Daphnia pulex: one gene and its partner. The protein of the gene in region 1 interacts with the protein of each later gene in a pairwise test. Links are inferred from orthologs where the notes say so. Each region holds a gene or a part of one and is shown on either strand. Other genes may lie near its edges.

Region 1 (9,016 bases):
TTCTTTAGTTATGTAATCAAGTTCGTCCTTACCTAAAGAATGCGATCCAGCGAAATTATGTGGCCGCAGTTAAGCCTAGTCGGATTCAATTGAAATGCTCTGCATTCTCTAAATGTTTTAAGAGTTTTCAACCACTTACCAGATTTGTAACAACTGCTGCTGAGGTACCAACAATACAACAATCAAAATGGATTGGACGATGGCTTGGAACATGTGCTGGCATGTGCTTTGGAGCAGTGGTGATTGGTATGGTTTATCAACTTTTTTAATCAATAGATTTAATGATTTACTGAAATTATCTCTTTTATGACTAAATAGGGGGACTCACAAGATTGACAGAATCTGGCTTGTCGGTAATGAAATAGTAACTTACTTGTTATTTCTAAGTTATTTTATAGCCTATTTCCAGATGGTTGAATGGTCTGCGTTTGGTGAAAGACCTCCGATGTCGCGAGAAGATTGGGAAAGAGAGTTTGAAAAATATAAACAGTTCCCTGAATACAAACAGTATTTTTTTAAAAATTAATTACAGTGTTAAAACAGTTAGGATTTTTAGTCAATTTTCCTAAACAGGTTAAAGAAAGGAATCAGCCTTGAAGAATTCAAATTCATCTGGCACATGGAGTATGGGCACAGAATGTGGGGTAGATTAATTGGAGCCATGTTTGTCATACCTGCAGCAATTTTCTGGAAAAAGGGCTACTTTAATTCAGCATTGAAAAAGAGAGTATTGATTTATGGAACTTTGATTGGATGTCAGGTATACAAGTTAAAGCTGGCTTTTCTAAATTTTCTATTTTTTTTTTAAGCTAATATTTTAAACAATTAGGGTTTGCTTGGATGGTATATGGTAAAATCTGGTTTGGAAGATCGATTCCATGGAGAAGCCGATGTCCCAAGAGTTTCACAGTACAGATTAGCTTCACATCTCGGATCTGCCTTCGTACTTTATTCCCTTTTTCTCTGGACATCTCTACATCACCTGGTGCCCGCCAAAGTAATGGAGGTCTCTAAAGGGGCTATCAAATTTAAAAGATTAGTTCATTTTTCTAAAGGAATCGTTTTTCTGACCGCAATCTCGGGTATAACGAGTTCATCAAAGTATGTGTTAATGGTTGTTTTCTAATTTCATTGATTATTCTCGGATTTTAAAGGAGCATTTGTAGCAGGATTGGATGCTGGTCTGGTTTACAACTCATATCCCTTGATGGCTGGACGATTCTTACCTCAAGAATGGCTAGCCTTGACACCTAAAATCAGGAATTTCACTGAAAATCCTTCTACTGTTCAGTTTGACCATCGTACTCTGGTAATAGGGATAATTAAATTTTTCAGTAGAAATCAAATAAAATTTAAATTTAAACTTTACAGGGGCATTTTACCGTCCTCTTATTATCGTCTGTATGGCTTTTGTCACGTCGCATTGTACTTCCACCTCGAGCGCGATATGCTGCCAATGCACTGGCTGCTATGGCGTGGATGCAGGTACACATAACAAATATTGTTGCATGTGTTTTTTCAGCAATAACAAAGAGTTCGTTTTTCCGCAGGCTTCTCTCGGAATAGCAACTCTTCTCTTTTATGTCCCCACACCGTTGGCGTCTTCACATCAAGCTGGTTCCTTGGTATTGCTCTCAACTGCCTTGTGGCTCTCTCATGAACTCAAAAATATGAAGTACATCCCAAAGTAAAACCATTCGTTTGTATACCGTGGTTTGATTTTCCTTTCACTGCTCTGAGAACGAAATCGCACTTTTCACGTAGTTGTGATGTTATTGAAATAAAATCATTAAGTCAATCTGGAGGTGTTGCTAAACTGTTACTATAATACAGTAATACCATAAAATTCTTATCTGTTTTTAGCGAAAGATTATAATAGTAAAAAAAAATGGCCGATATGTTGATTCAAATTTCAAAGTCTCATTGCTAAAACGCTATTTGTTAAGGAACAATGCTTAAGAGTTAAGATTACGCACAGTTAGAGCTATCACAGCTAATTTAACCAATTGAAAACAAACCAGTTAGCTCGGAACTCTTATGGGAAGAATAAATGATATTCCGTCGATAGAATTAATGAACATCCAAGTTGTCAATTGAATCGCTGGACCAATTATCTGTTTCAACGTCATAAAAATATACTTCACAAGTTAAAGTGATATACTGTAATTTAACACTTAACAGACTTACATAGTATTTTTAATTCTTGATGATTTCATGAGCACCACTAGATCATTTTGCAACTGCCTGGGAAGTTCTAGCTGATGAACATGGTTGTAATCTTTTATCCTCTTTCTAATGGCATGCATAGCAGAATATTTGAGAGAATAGAGAGGGCTTGTAATGTTGACAGTAACTCGTTTGGGTTTTATGTCTTCAGGATTAATTTTCCCACTTCGCAAGTCTGGAAGATATTGCTAAAGCATGGGAATATGTGATAATTTGAACAGATTTTTGAAAGCAAACTGTCTTTTTGACCACCTTACCTCATACCATGCATTTGGTTGAAATACATCTTTTAAATTTGCATTTAACCTTTCATGTGTCAATGCATCTTGAAATAGCCAAGGATGAGCCACATATGTGTTTACATCAAAAAATTCTTCTGGTTCTAAAGTCTTATATTTCACTCTTGCACCTTCATAATTCATCCATATTACTTCTACTTTCCTTTGAGTATGCTAATAATTATTAATCAAGAATATATTAAAAAGAATTCAAGAAATGTACTTAAAAATAAGATGTGACCAACATTGCAAAATCGAACGAAGCTTAATCCACGGCTGGGTTGCGACCTCATCTCACGAACGCCATCCCTAGAGTTTTCTTCATTTATCATTTTCACATCAGTAAGAAACTGTTATTGCTATGTGCAAAATTTGCATGTAGTAGACTGTTTAGTAGTAGACTGTTTTTTTTTTCTACGCGAGACTGTTTAGTTCGTGTCGTCTCAGTTTCTTGATTTGGAACTTTTGTATATGTGTCAAATTTGCACGTGATGCATTTCCTTGTCGGAAGATGCCGTATCAAAAATCGTCTGCACCAGTTTTTGACACGTAAAATAAAAGTTCCCGATGTGATTTGACAAGTGCAGAAAACATACAATAATATCAATGGAAGAAAGCTTTGAGAAAACAAATAACGTTAATAAAAAATTACCGTTGGAGGAATTAGACCGAGATGAATTACTGAAACGCTGTAAGAGCTACTTGGCTTTAGCGCAAAGGGCAAAACAAGCTAGAGATGGTAAGTGCTATATTGATGGCATCGGCAATTTAAAAATATTATCGGATATAATAAAATATTCTTCTATTTCCTTTGGTTTGTTTATACTTTATTGGTTTATCTGTTTTACCTTTATTTCTCTTTCATCGATAGAAGTGCAACAGAGAGAAACTAGCCTCCTTGACAAAATTTCAACACTTGAAAGTCAAGTTATCCAGTTGGGAATACAGGAAAAAACCTGCAGCAATAATGAAGAGGAACATCTGGAATCAATTCAAGACCTTTCACTAACTTCAAATGTCTCTGATTTAGTATCACAATTAAAACTAAAAGATGAAGAAACAAATTTGCTGCTATCTAAAAGTGAAGCAATGCAGGCACAGCTTAAAACTCTTGAAGAAAATTATGAACAACAAAAGGATGGCTTTGTAGAAGAATTAAATAAAATGAATGATGTTTTGAAACAGAGGGGTGAAGCCATTACTAGGCTTGAAGAAAAATGCCAAACAAATGAAAAAGAATTCAAGGTATCCAAATTAAATCTATTTGTTGATCTTAAGAAATTTATTCATTTCTTTTTCATCCGCAAATATTTTTTGACTAGGCGAAAACTGAAACATTCCTTCAATTAGTAGCAGAGAGGGAGCGCAAAATTGAACAGTTGGAGAGTGAATCCAGTCGGTTCGAAACGCAGAGTGAAGTAATGAGTACGTCAACCGTAAGCAAAGTGGAAGAAATTCATCGGATGAAAGATGTTGAAGATTCGCTAGAAGATAGATACAACAAGTTGAAAATGTTGGCAGTAAAAATGAAGAGAAAGATTGCTGAACAAAACACACAATTACAAGAGAAAGATAATCAGCTGACTTTGTTGAAGGCGGAGGATAAGAAAACACATATTCGAAATAATTCGTTAAATTTACAGGTAAAGAACAGAGCGTTTCATTCTCTTATCGTTATTTGAATCAATATTTTTACTTTTGTACCAATCTAGGCAGCTCAGAAGGACATTGATCGATTGAATGATGAATTGGATGCGAAAAAATCGGAACTATCCGTAATGAAGAAAGATTGTGAACATTCAATCCAAGAACTAGCAAATAGTAGGCAAAGGGCAGAGGAATTCAAAAACGAAGCTTCTCTCCTAAAAACAACAGCAGCGAACCTTGAAATTTCAAAAAAAGTGTTGGAAAAATCCTTTCAAGATTTCAAAGTCATGTATGATGACAGTCGGAAGGAGAACGAATCCGAAAAAATCCTTAGAGTTGAATTGAGTAAGGAATGCGATCGGTTTAGAAACGAAATCCGCCAGCTGAATTCCACTATTGACGAACTGAATAAAAAGAATCAAGCTGTAAAGCAAGAATGTAAGAAGCAGAGTTTGTTGGAAATGGAACTTACAGATTACGAGAAATCTGTTTCTGAATTGAACGGACAACTGGAAACGCTTCAGAAGGAGCTCGCTTTGAAACAAAACATTGTCGATCAACACAAGGAAGAAAAATCTGGACTTGAAGCACAAGTCTCTCTCTTGGAACAGCAAGTTGGCACGGAACAGCAACGAGCGACAGATTTAAAAGTGAGATTTCCTTTTATTAGTCATCAAATAATTGCTTCAACTAAGTTTCTCTCTTATGCATTTTTCCCACACAGATGAATTTGGATGCAGTTCAGTTAGAGTTAGATTCCATTCAAAACGAGTTACAACAACAGAGAACCGAAATTCGCAACGTCACCGCGAAGGCAGAATCAAAAGAGAACGAAGTTGATAATCTAAAATTACAGTTGTCCACCGTCAACGCCGAACTTCACAAGCTTCAAACCGGATCATCACTACACATTGAAACTCTCCGTAAACAGGTTGCGGCGCTTGAAGAAGCCGCAGCAACCGAGAAAATGGTCAAAGACAGTTTACAATCTGAATTGTCTGAGCTCCGTGCCGAGTATGAAAATTACAAAATACGCGCCACGAGCGTCTTGAAGAAACAAAAGACGGAAGCGCAACCTTCAGCCACATCATCGAAAGAAGCGGCAGATGATTTCAATACGGATCAAGTTGAACGGGAAATGCTGCAACGAGTCGTCGAAGCTCTTAAGGGGAAAATAGCAGAACTCGAGTAAGCCGTTAGTTTATTGATCGGTTGGTTGGCAAAAAGAAATATTGGTTTTAATTGTTTGTTTGCTCAGGTCGCAGCTGGCGCATTCACAAAGTGAAGTGTCCAATTTCAGAGCGGAAAGGGAACGAACTGCGGCAACTCAATCATCAATCGTTGAAGCTATGCAGAACCGCTTGGAGCGTGCTGAATCTGAAATGGAGGTTATCAAGCGAGAACACCAAGCGCAGATTTCTCGATTGCAAGGGGATAATCAATTACTAGCTTCCTTACATCGAGTATGTTCTACATTCTCACATAAAGCTGCATAAAACATCCATTGAATTTAAAATCTATATTGATTGATTGCTCAGGAACAAATCGATGGGATTAAGTTACGTCATGCTCAAGAAATTTTGGAGCTGCAAAATAATTTAGATGAAGTTGGACTGGAATCCGCAAGATTGCAGAAGATTATATCTAGCTATCAGGCACAGCGGACTGTCAGTCCACTTACAAAAGGTTTGCAATGAAATTTAATATTAATGTAGACTCGTCACTAATTATCCCATTCGATATTTGCTGTTCATCAGCGGGTGATCTGCGACGTGATGAAGCTTTCATGATAGAACGGGAACGTGGCGAAGGGTCTGAAGATGGAAGTGTGACCCGCCGATCGACGCAACGTGAGGACAGTGACAACGACTCACGAAAACCCATTCCTTTGGAGCTCTTGCTGAATTCTCAATTGGCATCTGAAGAAACTGTTGTTTTCCAAACCGAACGCCCAGAAACCATCTCCTTTGAACAGTACAGCGAATCGTTGGCGCTGGTGGAGAAACGATGCAATCATTTGTCTGCTCTGTTGGCGGAATCGGAAGCTAACGAAGCTCGCCTCTCTCAACTTGCCGACGCCCTAAAAGAGGAAATAAGGCGTTCCGAGCGATCTGAAGAGCGACAAAAGCACATCGAAAATCTGGAGTACTTGAAGAACGTTGTTCTCAAAGTAAGAAATCTAATTTCACAACTGTGTTCCATGTTTTAACTAAATTGATTCTTTTCTTTTCTGCTTACCAGTTCGTTACCTTACCTCCTCGAGGAGAAGAGCGTAGCCGGCTGGTCCCAGTGCTTACCACTTTGCTTCGATTGAGTCCAGTAGAAGTTCAGGAGGTCCACCAAACATTTAATCGTACGACAGACGGAATTGTCCGGCCCATTGGCTGGGGTGGCGTTTTCAACTATTTCGCTCCCAATCAATAGTCACGTGTGATCTTTTCCGAATTTGGGTCCTTGATGTTCGTCATACAACACTATAGACCCCCTCCCCCCACTGTCCATTTGAAATCGGTTCGGTCCAACTACTCCATCCATCTCTGCATTGTTGGTAGTATTGGCAGTATTATTTGGTACGAGCGTACGTCGGGTCGCTTTGGTTGAGGAAAACCACGAGAATCGTTAGCAGCCAAGTATGGGAAGCAAACTATGCGTGTGATTTTAGCCGTTGTATAGTGTGAAATCAATATTTATGTACCTTATTAAGGAGAACGTTGGCTACTTTCTGGACTTGTGGAGAGGTGTGTGTTCATTATATAAATAATCCCCATTATGTTTCCTTCTTTCGAATCGGTGATCACTATTACATCTTTTCGGATGATACAGCGAATTTTCATTTTCTCTTGAGCAAAACGACGCTGATAATCGCTTATGGCCTTTCAAAGTTTCTTGACACTCCAAGCTGTAGCGCCCTTTGCAGTATCAATGTGCCATGAAAACGGAGTTGGAAACAAACCATGCACTTTTGAGTCTATTGTCAAGCAAAACGGCTCTCAAAGCAGACATTGTGCACGGGGTTTCCGTTAAGTTGAGCATGTGCATGAGCAAAAGTTCAGCAGGGTAATAACAAACCCCCCGCCGAAAAAGGCGGAAAAAGGCGTCCGACTTTTATAGTCAGCTGCATGCTGCGAGCAAGTATAATCACCGAGAGGATGAAACGGGTTTACGGTAGTAGGTTCGGGATTTATGTCCCGTCATGTGGAAAAAGAGATCCTGCTTGCCGCAAACTTTTTTTAAAAGATCTCTCTGCTGGTCTCCTCATTTTCTACCATATTGATGGTCATAAGAAGTAGGAGGGGGGTTGCGATATTCCGGTTGAAAAACGAGGGCCGAGTTGCGGATACATACGTTTAGGCCTGAAGCCAAGGAGACAATGGGACCGTTTTGTCAGCGTTGAGAGTCCGAATAGCCGGGGCGGAAAGTCCGCCCCGGTATAACTCCAACCTCTTCGCCAGGAGCTCTGCTGTGAAAGTATACGGGGCAGCGACCCAGCAAGCAATCTGCAACGAAACACCCGAGCTGGTAAATGATCGATGATGATTGAATTACATGTCACGCAAATATATAGAAGGATTTCTATATTATCACGGTCTCTCTTATATAAAGTCGGTTGCCTTAAAATCTACGCGTTCTCTTTTTACATGGAGAGAAAGAGAGAGAGCCTGTCTTACGTAATCATGTATACGAGTTAGAGCAATCAAGTTACTACCACTCTCTCGTGTTCTTATTGCTCCTTTTTATTATGCGCACAGTACATCGCATGAATTGGTGTGCCAGAACGCGAATCCGTAACGAAGTAGAGAAAACGAGGGACCGAGACAAGAAGGTGGAGCGAGGAAATAGATATGATGATGGACTACTAGGTCCCTGTCGGTTATGTCCTCCAGTGTTGTTACTATGCGGCCGTGGAATTCGGTTAGAATCTGCCAGGCAATAAACGTGCCGTAAGACTGCGAGCCTTTTATTTTAGGTTGATTCTACATGGACTGGGTGTCCTAGTAGTATATAGCGCTAGCTGGCTGCTTTTCCTCGTCGCTATATCCTACTATACTACTGCAGCAATCCGCTGGGGCGTGCACCGACTCTCCACACTCCAGTACAGCCGAAATAATGGTCGACGGGTTCGCATATGGAAGAGAGAAGTACTCTGGCTGCTAGGAGACCGACGATCAATACACTTGGAACTTTTGTGCTGTAAGACACTGGTGAGACGTCTATATAGAGATATGCAGCCAAGGTACACAAATACAGCCTTGACTAGATATAGTCGTCGGCAGGCTAAATATACCGAGACGAAAAACGTGTTTGCACATATTTATAGCATCGCTATATATAGGCCTATATATAGAGAGATAATAACATGTACATGCTGCTGTAATATCCTTTTTTTGAAATTGTATTTTTGCATCCGTTCAAAGAACAGCCAACATTCACGAGACAGGTGAGCGAAAAACGTGTTCCAACAAAAGAGATGCTACATGAATTCGAATTAAGGAACCGATTGGACTCGAATAGTGGTATATCAAGCGGTTGGCTATATTATTTAAGTATTTAGATGAAAACCGATTAGGGGTTATAACAGGGAAGTGGTGGATGAGATGTATTTTTGGTGAGAGTGGTGTACGCTTGGTTTATTTTTTTTTAAGATTGAAACATGATGACATCTAATAATTGGTACAGTAACTTGTCAATGAGTCGACTTGAACAACGAGAAATATATCATGCCAATAAGGTTGATTATTTGTAAAACTATTATCGATGATAATAATAATAATAATATTGATAATTTGGAAAAAGGAAACGAAATTCTTCCAAATGATAAACACTATTTAGTAGTAACATTTGACAGGTGCGATTAATAATAATTA
Region 2 (8,339 bases), on another chromosome or scaffold:
ACTAGATCTGTAGTACTTTTGAAAGACATTTGATCAAAATAATTACTTTTAGCTGTTGCATGGGTTTAGACGTACGCCTAAGAACAGGCAGCGAGACACACTAGGCACGCCATTTCGGCAATGTACAGGCACTTCCCAAGTCTGAGTTGAATGGTTTGGCAAAGTGGTTTCTACATGCTAAATCACTGTAAATTTATACATCAACATTTTTAATTCAATAACAATAGGAACTTAACAATGAATTGAATACCTTTTAATTTTCATCGTGAGAAACGTCACGACCAACAACCCATCTCTACTGCGTCTTGCAACAAAATGGCCGCTCTGCATCAGTGCTGAACACACTCGCGCTACCTGGTGGACATCATTTCAGCCACCTATTGACAGCCACCTATTGACAGTCATTAGATTCCTGTTCAAATGACTGAACGCAACGGCTGGATTGCTTGCTTCCAGACAGCACGCAGCAGCTCAACTTGAATTCGACATGCCTTGAGCCTTTCGGCTTTCACTAGCTGGCACGAAATGAATCAAATGAGCATAAACACCAGATTACTCCAGCAGCTTTCCCTATGACACGAATAGACAAAGTTTTTAGTTAGCTTTTCAGACTTTTTAACTCTTTCAAGGCTCCACATCCCAAAGTCCCTTAAAGTGTGTCCTTAAGTCGAGAAAGATAAGGTGGCCTTACCCGTCTTGCAGCAGCTTTTTCGTTCCTCTCGTGGTAATGCTTTGTCGTACTTAAGTTCCAAGCTATCTTCACTCCTCTGTGACGGGCGACATCCCTGACGGTTTTTACCGGTTTTTACCATCTATGCTCATGTTGTGGGCTTTTTGGTTGGCCGCTGGTTGCCATTTCTTCTCAGCGGGACACGCATGGACGGTTCACACTTACAGAGAATTCTCTCAACGATTTGAGGCCGTTTGTTCGAAAAAAAAAAACGAAACATCCAACCAGAATCAGAGGTCTAGCCAATGAATAGATCCAAGCAGGCGAGTTATTCTTGGGACCGTGTTGGAAATCTTGAGCGACATCGGGCTAGATGCTTCACTTTGTGATACGGTGGAACGACCGTTAAAACGAATTTCAACACTTTTGTGTTTCTAAATCTGTTGAAAGAAAATCAAATGCTCATTACCTATGGAATCAAAAAGGAATAAAAATGTTTCTTATTACCTGTGCTTTACGTCATTGGTATAATGGAGGTGATAAAGGTTAGATAATGGAGAACTTGAGCGACAAGTAACATTTAACTGTCTCTTTTTCCTGACGCCTGTTTCTTACTGACAGCAAGTGGATTGCTCCTATACTGGTCTACATAGGTCTGTTGTCGGACATGTGTGCCTAACTTGGAAAATGACGTCAATTAGTATAAAGGAGATTTTAATTTGGTGGAGGTACTACTGCTTTCCTCCTTGATGATTCCACTTAGTACCTTTAGTAAGTCAACAAGGGCACACCATAATAATGCCGTCTTGGAGCGCGTGGAATAAATTCCGTTGGCTTTTGGTATAACAGTAGTAGGATAATCCTCTTCTGCCTCTACTTCGGGTTTAGATTCTTTTTCTTCCTCAATATTGACGACCGTCTGAAAGGTATGTCTAGCAAAATTCCATATGAGATTTTCTGTTGCCTAAATTACAACAAACTATTAGTTCTTTACGTTCTTTTGTCTACTATATTGTGGGAACAACTTGCCTAAATTTTTTTTGGATCAGATGGTTTTTTCTTGTTGACAAAGAGCCTTTTCAAATTCAGTCGTGGCCAAAACTTCCATACGTTCAAATTGACGGGGCTTGGCAGGCCTATTTCATCTTACGGTAATCCAAGGCTCCAGGTTTTCAGATTTTCTAAACTGCAGCAGCAGTTTATTTGATGGAAGGTCGGGTATAGTGACATGTTTGTATTACTTTCTTTCATGGTCGGGTAGTGTGATTGCATTTGTCCTTTAGTTACATTTTGTGCGATCGATCCAACAGTTTGTGAACACTGATCGGCACTGGAAAGAGGTTTCGTCACAAACCATTCGTAGGCCTACCAGACGTGAGTGCGATCGACGCAAAGCAAAAAATGAATCTCTAGAAAGTATCCCTTTAAAACGAAGAAAATTAAACATCTTGTCCAATTATTGGAGAAACAGCTATAAACTTATTACCTTCTTCAATCTGATGATGGGATTCTGGATAGGGAAAAGAAACAAACCAACTGAACATTTCTGGCGAGTGTATATAGTAGGATTGATAGAGAGCATTACATCTTTGTGATGTTGAGTACGTTGGGAAATTGATGCACTTCATAACGACTGTGGTAAATCGTCATTTCTATTGAATTCAAGTAAAAAGTTAGCGGAAATTCTACTTTTTAGAATAATTTTTTTTCAACTCTGCAAGTGGCGGTATTGCTGAATGACAGCACGTCAGTCAGTGGTTGCAGATTTGTCGTCAGGTTCCACCAATGAATTCAGTAATTGAAAAGCGGCGCAGGATTAACCTGGAATGAGAATGGATGTTACTTGAGGTACCAAAAATATCAAAGAAGATTGTAGCGACACCAAGCAATACCTCAAATCAAGAGCGGACCCGTTCTAAGAAAGTCAAAGAGGAAAATTCATGGTAGCAGCCAACGGATTAATACTATATTATCTTTATCATGAACTGCTTGAAAAAAGTATCAATTAATGAGAGTCAAGAGAGAACCTGTAAAATAAAACTAAAAAATATTAAATCATCGAGTTTATTGTCATCAATGTGCTTAGTATCAAAATAATTATGTTATGGTGTTTACCTTTTGCATTCATCCCATATATTGGGCTGAAAAGTTTATGTCTGTAGCTGAACAGCTAAAGCTGTGGTAATACAAAATATTCAGATGAGGCTTGTGTGAAAATTGGGAATTTCCATGCTCCATTAATATAATCTGATGGGACAACAAATCACACAAAGATCATCTAGGAATAGTAAAATACAGAGATGTGTGTAACAATAAACAATGATGATGATGAGATATCAGTCATCCCATGTGATCAGTCTACTCTTCCAGACTTGCTTACATATTATGTCCGTTAAAACCAGTGAAAACAATTAAACAAAGAAACCATGCCATAAAATTTCCTTTGTTTTTTAGATTGATTTTTCAGCTTGGCTTACTGTATTGGACCATTCACCATTGTATCCCTATTGTCACAGGCACCCTGCGGCCTGCACCCTGAAAATGTCAGCTAGATAAATTTTATGAAAATATTTAGTCAAGAATGCAATGAGAATCCTTAGCTCAAAAAGAGTATTGTCTATTCAGCAACTTTATGTAAAAATTTGAAATGCCAATGATCCCATTGATCTATTAATGCTAATGCAACCTTGATGAGATGACAGGCATTGCACACATTAATTATGTAGAATAGAATTGTAACATACATAGATGGGTGTATTAAAGGGTAAAAAAAAATGGTGCTTAAGAAAGTTAGAAATTTACCTTCACATCATTTTGGGGTTGAATTTGGTCCATAAAAAATTAAAAACAAAGAATATTGAACAAATATAAACAACTTTGAGCGGCATTTGCATTTGTTTGCGACACGAGAAAAACAACACATTTCGCCATCTAGTGTCGCAAACAACAATCTTTTTTAAATTTTTAACGAAACTTCACTGGAATTAACGATAGCTTCTCAATTACTGAGCTGACAATCCTGACATCAATTTGATTAGATTTCTGACTTCCCCGTTAATTTGGAGTGGAAAAGAACTGCTTTTACGATCAGTTTACATTATTCAGTTAACTCCCTGCTTCTTTCGAAATTATTTTGTACAAACATGATGGAACATGAACATGTTAGTGATGTTGACTATATGTATATCTCTGCTCGTTGGCTCGTAGTTTCGTATCATATAAACGTGGTGCATGGTTTTACCGTTTTACTTTCAGTCGGCGTTCCGTACGGTCAAAACTCGCGGGGAAATTTTCATAATATTGATGTGCAGACGACAAAATGGTGACTTCCAAATCCATTCCTGAATCCCGAGTTTTAGTTCTCCTCCGAGCCTCGACCCGAGTTTTACTGACAACGTAGCCTTACGGGGAGTTTGAACGAACTGCTAAGTTGCCAACGTCACCGTATCACTCATTGAATAGAGTCGGACTTTTAAGAACTGTCAAATTCAAGTTCTTCCTAATTCCTTCTTGTTTTTGTTTAAATTACTACATTCAGAAGCCTGTGCGATGGGTATGGATTGATTTTTGAAACTAATGTCATTCTTTCGTATCCAAATTGGTTGTAATTACCGGCATTTTTATAGGTGGTCTTCTCAGTTATTTTCGTAGCTTAATCGGTAGCCGAGAAATGAGGATCTTGATTTTGGGACTTGATGGTGCGGGGAAAACTACTATTCTTTACAGGTAAATTGAAGTAAATTCATATGTTTGTTATGTTCTTGCTGGATTGCACATTCCTTTGATAGGTTACAAGTCGGGGAAGTTGTGACCACCATTCCCACAATTGGTTTCAATGTTGAGCAGGTCACTTATAAAAACTTGAAATTTCAAGTCTGGGATCTTGGAGGGCAAACAAGCATAAGGTATTGTTATTTGTTTATTGAAACACCTATTACTTAACTCATTAAACTAACATTGTGCAGACCCTATTGGAGGTGTTACTATTCCAACACTGACGCCATTATTTATGTTGTTGACTCTGTTGATAAGGACAGAATAGGAATATCTAAACAAGAACTTGTTTCAATGCTAGAGGTAAAAGACCACAATAATATAATTAGTTAATTAATTCTTAATTGATTATAACCCTGCTCAATACTCTGTTTTAGGAAGAGGAACTGAAAGGAGCTATCCTAGCAGTCCTTGCAAATAAACAGGATATGGAAGGTGCCATGAGTGTAGCAGAAGTGCATCAAGCCTTAGGTTTAGACTTGCTCAGGAACAGAACTTTTCAGATATTCAAAACTTCTGCAATCAAAGGAGAAGGGTTGGACCAAGCAATGGATTGGCTATCCAATGCACTGCAGAGCCGTAAATAACGCTCTTCGCTTTTTCTCTACCATGTAAATGCTTTGGTTCCCTAATTTTCTCTTAGTTGTTACTTTTTAAAACGGTTTGTTCGCCTCTTCACCATTAGCGGGTGGTGGGCCTCGAATTTGCGAGCATGTTTGTGTGCTAAATTACATTTTCAGAGATGATTGAATCCTTATTGTTCATCTTGAAGTTTGTGAGAGTCAATGTGTTCTCATCATGTTCCATTTCTATCCATCCTCAACCTCTAATATAGATCCAGTTCAAAAGAGTAATTTGTTTTTTTCTGGTTTGTGCAAAAAAATCTTTTGGCAACCTGAAGATCCCTACGAAATCATGCTTGAATAAATTATGTACATGCTAATGGAAACAAAAATAAATGTTTGAATTTTGGCCTTTCTTCAGTTTATAGACTACCTGTTTGAACAACTCGGATGAAAAAAAAATGTACACGATAGCCAACAGGGTGACTATTAGAGCCTTTAGATTAGGCAACAATAGGAGGGGGGGCAGGTTTTTCAAATTCTCCCAATTCCTCGTCGTAATAATTATGGGCACGATACATTTTCAACAACCAAGGGGCTCTCTCCTCAATTCGCGTCAAAGTAACTCCTAAGTCTTCCAGTGTCGGCAGGGAATTGTCAACACAATCGGTAACGTGATCCTAGTTAACACAAACACATATGAGGTAATGCATGGGATTTAATATCAAAATATTTCAAAAGAATCTTACTCGTTCAAGTTTTTCCCATCCAAGGTTTGCGATAGGCCATCCTGGAAGTTTTGCTGTTAAATTGACCTAAAGTATCGTGCCAATAAATAATTCAGTAAAAGTTCAAAATTAAACTAAGGTTTTTATAATACTTACTTTTAACCAGAACAGAGGGGCATAACGCAAATCGTAACGGTAATAGCCCCATTCTTTATCCTTACGCATAACACGGAAAAAATAATCAACTAGCTCTCCAAGTTGGTATCGCTTAGGCCTGTGAAAATTATACAACGTTAGCGAAAGAAGAAACAAATACAATACTGGGGTAAGTAATACATATATACCCAATAGCTTGATAAATTTGCCCATTGGTATCAATGTTTCTGGCAGCATTCAAAATTCCCTGAGCTACGTCCCCAACACATACGGGTTGCTTGATGGTATGTTCTCCCTTTTTCCACAGCGGCATACCTGCACCTTGACGGCGCCAAAATGCAGCATAATAAGTAACGAATCGATCCTCTGAACCATAGATATCCGACGGTCGGAAAATAACTGCTTCGGGAAATTCCTCACGAACGGCTAGTTCACCTGTTAGTTAAATTGAAAATGATTTCTCTGTATTCCGAAAAAATTTATAGTTTCTAACCTCTCCATTTAGCAGACAAAAACTTTGAACCTTCTTTAAGCATAAGAGGTTCAGGTTTCTCAGTTGCATTTAAAGCTGAGACATGGATCATTCTTTCAACCCCACATTCCTTAGCAATGCGTGCAATAGTTCTTGGACCTATAAAATGAATTTTACTGGTTAAGATATATAAGAACATTAAGAAGCGGTTGAATAGAATAATTTGCCTTTCACATAGATGTCCTCAAATGAAAAATTTCGAGTCTCCCATTCCCTGCCAACCACATTGATGACAAGATTGGAATGCTTCAAAGCTTTCCTGATACTATTCTCATCCTTAAGGTTGTAAGGTGTAAAGTAGACCTGGCCCAAGTCTCCACACATCTTCAGTGGTGCAACATCGTAGAAATCACCTCTGTAAGGTAGCACTAGCTGGGTGCCTGTGTTACCCAACTTATTGCAGACAACAGAACCTAGATGACCATTAGCTCCAAAAACAGTAGCTACAACTCCGTTAAAGCTAGATCTTCCTCCAGTTCCTCTTCGAAAGGCCGACATCCGAGAGTTGATGTTTACTTCGGTGCTGTACGACGCCGTGGGTGTGAACACAATCGACGACAAGCTCGCCCCTTTAAAATATAAAGTTGTTCATCTACAAGTTCAATAAATGTTATTTGTTTAATTTAATTCTTACATTGTTTAGAGCTCTGCGAGCATATTTTTAGGGAGGCCATTTTCACTAACAATCACCATCTGTCGGAAGACTGCGATAGTTGGCGACAATTACGGCTAGCTTGAGACATCTGGTGTGAGATAATTGAACGAAATAAGTTGGAATTTTTACCGATTTACTTTGATTGATTGATCCATCAATATCATTCAATGTACTAAGGATCATTTAATCGGGGTTGATCATGAAAATTACCTGGACCGTGTGGTAGAAACCTGTGAATACAATGACAATTTTAATTTTATGTCCGTTTTACCACATTGAGTAAATTGCTGTAACATTTGCTTAGTTAGCTACATAAATTGTAACCTAATTAAGATAAAATAAAAACCCCACACCATCCCCAGAGCTGAAATGAGTTTTCTCGTAAAAAAATAAATAACAAAAACCACTTTGGAAAATAACTCCGCCCCTTGGAGAATCTCGACCAATCAGTGTGCTCCAAACACCCGCAAATTTCAAATAACGATCTTCTCACAACGAATATCATTTTACTATTTTTAATTGAGATACACGATCCATTTTTACCTCGTAATTTACTAATCGCTGTCTAGCAATGGAGGATTGGTTTGACTTTATGTTTACCAACACATCACTCTTTAAATATTAATTCAACGGAAAGATCTATGTACTGTATTTTGTTATTAAACAATAGACTGTTTCGATTCAGGTCTAATTGTAATAATTTAAATGTGCTCAGACTTGGATGCTAAATGAATACTAGATTACCGCTAACATTACAATTGCTGGTAGTACAGGATCAAAAAGGGAATCTGTACGACCTCCCCATAGGCCTACTATGTTAGTAGATTTGAAAGAGTAATTTCTTTAAACTTCAAAATTGAAACTTTTTTTTTATTCTTACAAACAGCTTTTAACACACGACCAGACACAATGCGTGCATAAAATGCAATTAAACACTAATACATTTGTTCTAGAAAAAAAAAAGCCCACAGAAATTCTCTTCATTGCTTTTTGTTTTCTCTCTTACACTGATATTTACTATACAAGTCTAACAAGTTACGAACTATAAAACAAACTCATGTTCATAGACGGGAGAATATAATACATCGAGTCATCAATACTGGGAGGTGAACTTGATTCCAAACGTCGACGTAAAGTTACAACATGGCCATCAACGTCAGTTATTACTAATATGTTTTTTTATTGTTTCAGCTCAAGGGCCCAGACGTGGTGCGGCCATCCCGTTCGTCCTTTGCTTCGCTTGTCTCCATTCGACGGGCAG

What was found.
Region 2: the proteins of GRIP and coiled-coil domain-containing protein 2-like (region 1) and ADP-ribosylation factor-like protein 1 interact in a two-hybrid assay, tested with the Drosophila melanogaster proteins (2 studies listed by BioGRID). The link is inferred for Daphnia pulex from reciprocal best matches to the Drosophila melanogaster genes GCC185 and Arl1.

What each region holds. Positions count from the first base shown.
Region 1 is NC_060018.1:5,673,012-5,682,027, reverse strand, and holds GRIP and coiled-coil domain-containing protein 2-like, read left to right. Parts: upstream 1-3,013; 5' UTR 3,014-3,110; coding exon 3,111-3,243; intron 3,244-3,375; coding exon 3,376-3,749; intron 3,750-3,826; coding exon 3,827-4,147; intron 4,148-4,216; coding exon 4,217-4,801; intron 4,802-4,875; coding exon 4,876-5,339; intron 5,340-5,409; coding exon 5,410-5,614; intron 5,615-5,689; coding exon 5,690-5,837; intron 5,838-5,908; coding exon 5,909-6,321; intron 6,322-6,392; coding exon 6,393-6,575; 3' UTR 6,576-6,971; downstream 6,972-9,016. Other genes in the region: cytochrome c oxidase assembly protein COX15 homolog, read left to right, coding at 9-246, 319-353, 410-507, 574-760, 830-1,082, 1,155-1,309, 1,372-1,485, 1,551-1,691; von Hippel-Lindau disease tumor suppressor-like, read right to left, coding at 2,111-2,114, 2,188-2,414, 2,484-2,678, 2,750-2,836.
Region 2 is NC_060020.1:4,904,128-4,912,466, reverse strand, and holds ADP-ribosylation factor-like protein 1, read left to right. Parts: upstream 1-4,058; 5' UTR 4,059-4,219; coding exon 4,220-4,223; intron 4,224-4,296; coding exon 4,297-4,396; intron 4,397-4,458; coding exon 4,459-4,575; intron 4,576-4,635; coding exon 4,636-4,747; intron 4,748-4,821; coding exon 4,822-5,031; 3' UTR 5,032-5,416; downstream 5,417-8,339. Other genes in the region: NADH dehydrogenase [ubiquinone] 1 alpha subcomplex subunit 9, mitochondrial-like, read right to left, coding at 5,511-5,687, 5,757-5,822, 5,892-6,009, 6,080-6,326, 6,385-6,522, 6,591-6,992, 7,058-7,097; heart- and neural crest derivatives-expressed protein 2-like, read right to left, coding at 8,258-8,339. UniProt on the Drosophila melanogaster protein: GTP-binding protein involved in protein trafficking; may modulate vesicle budding and uncoating within the Golgi apparatus.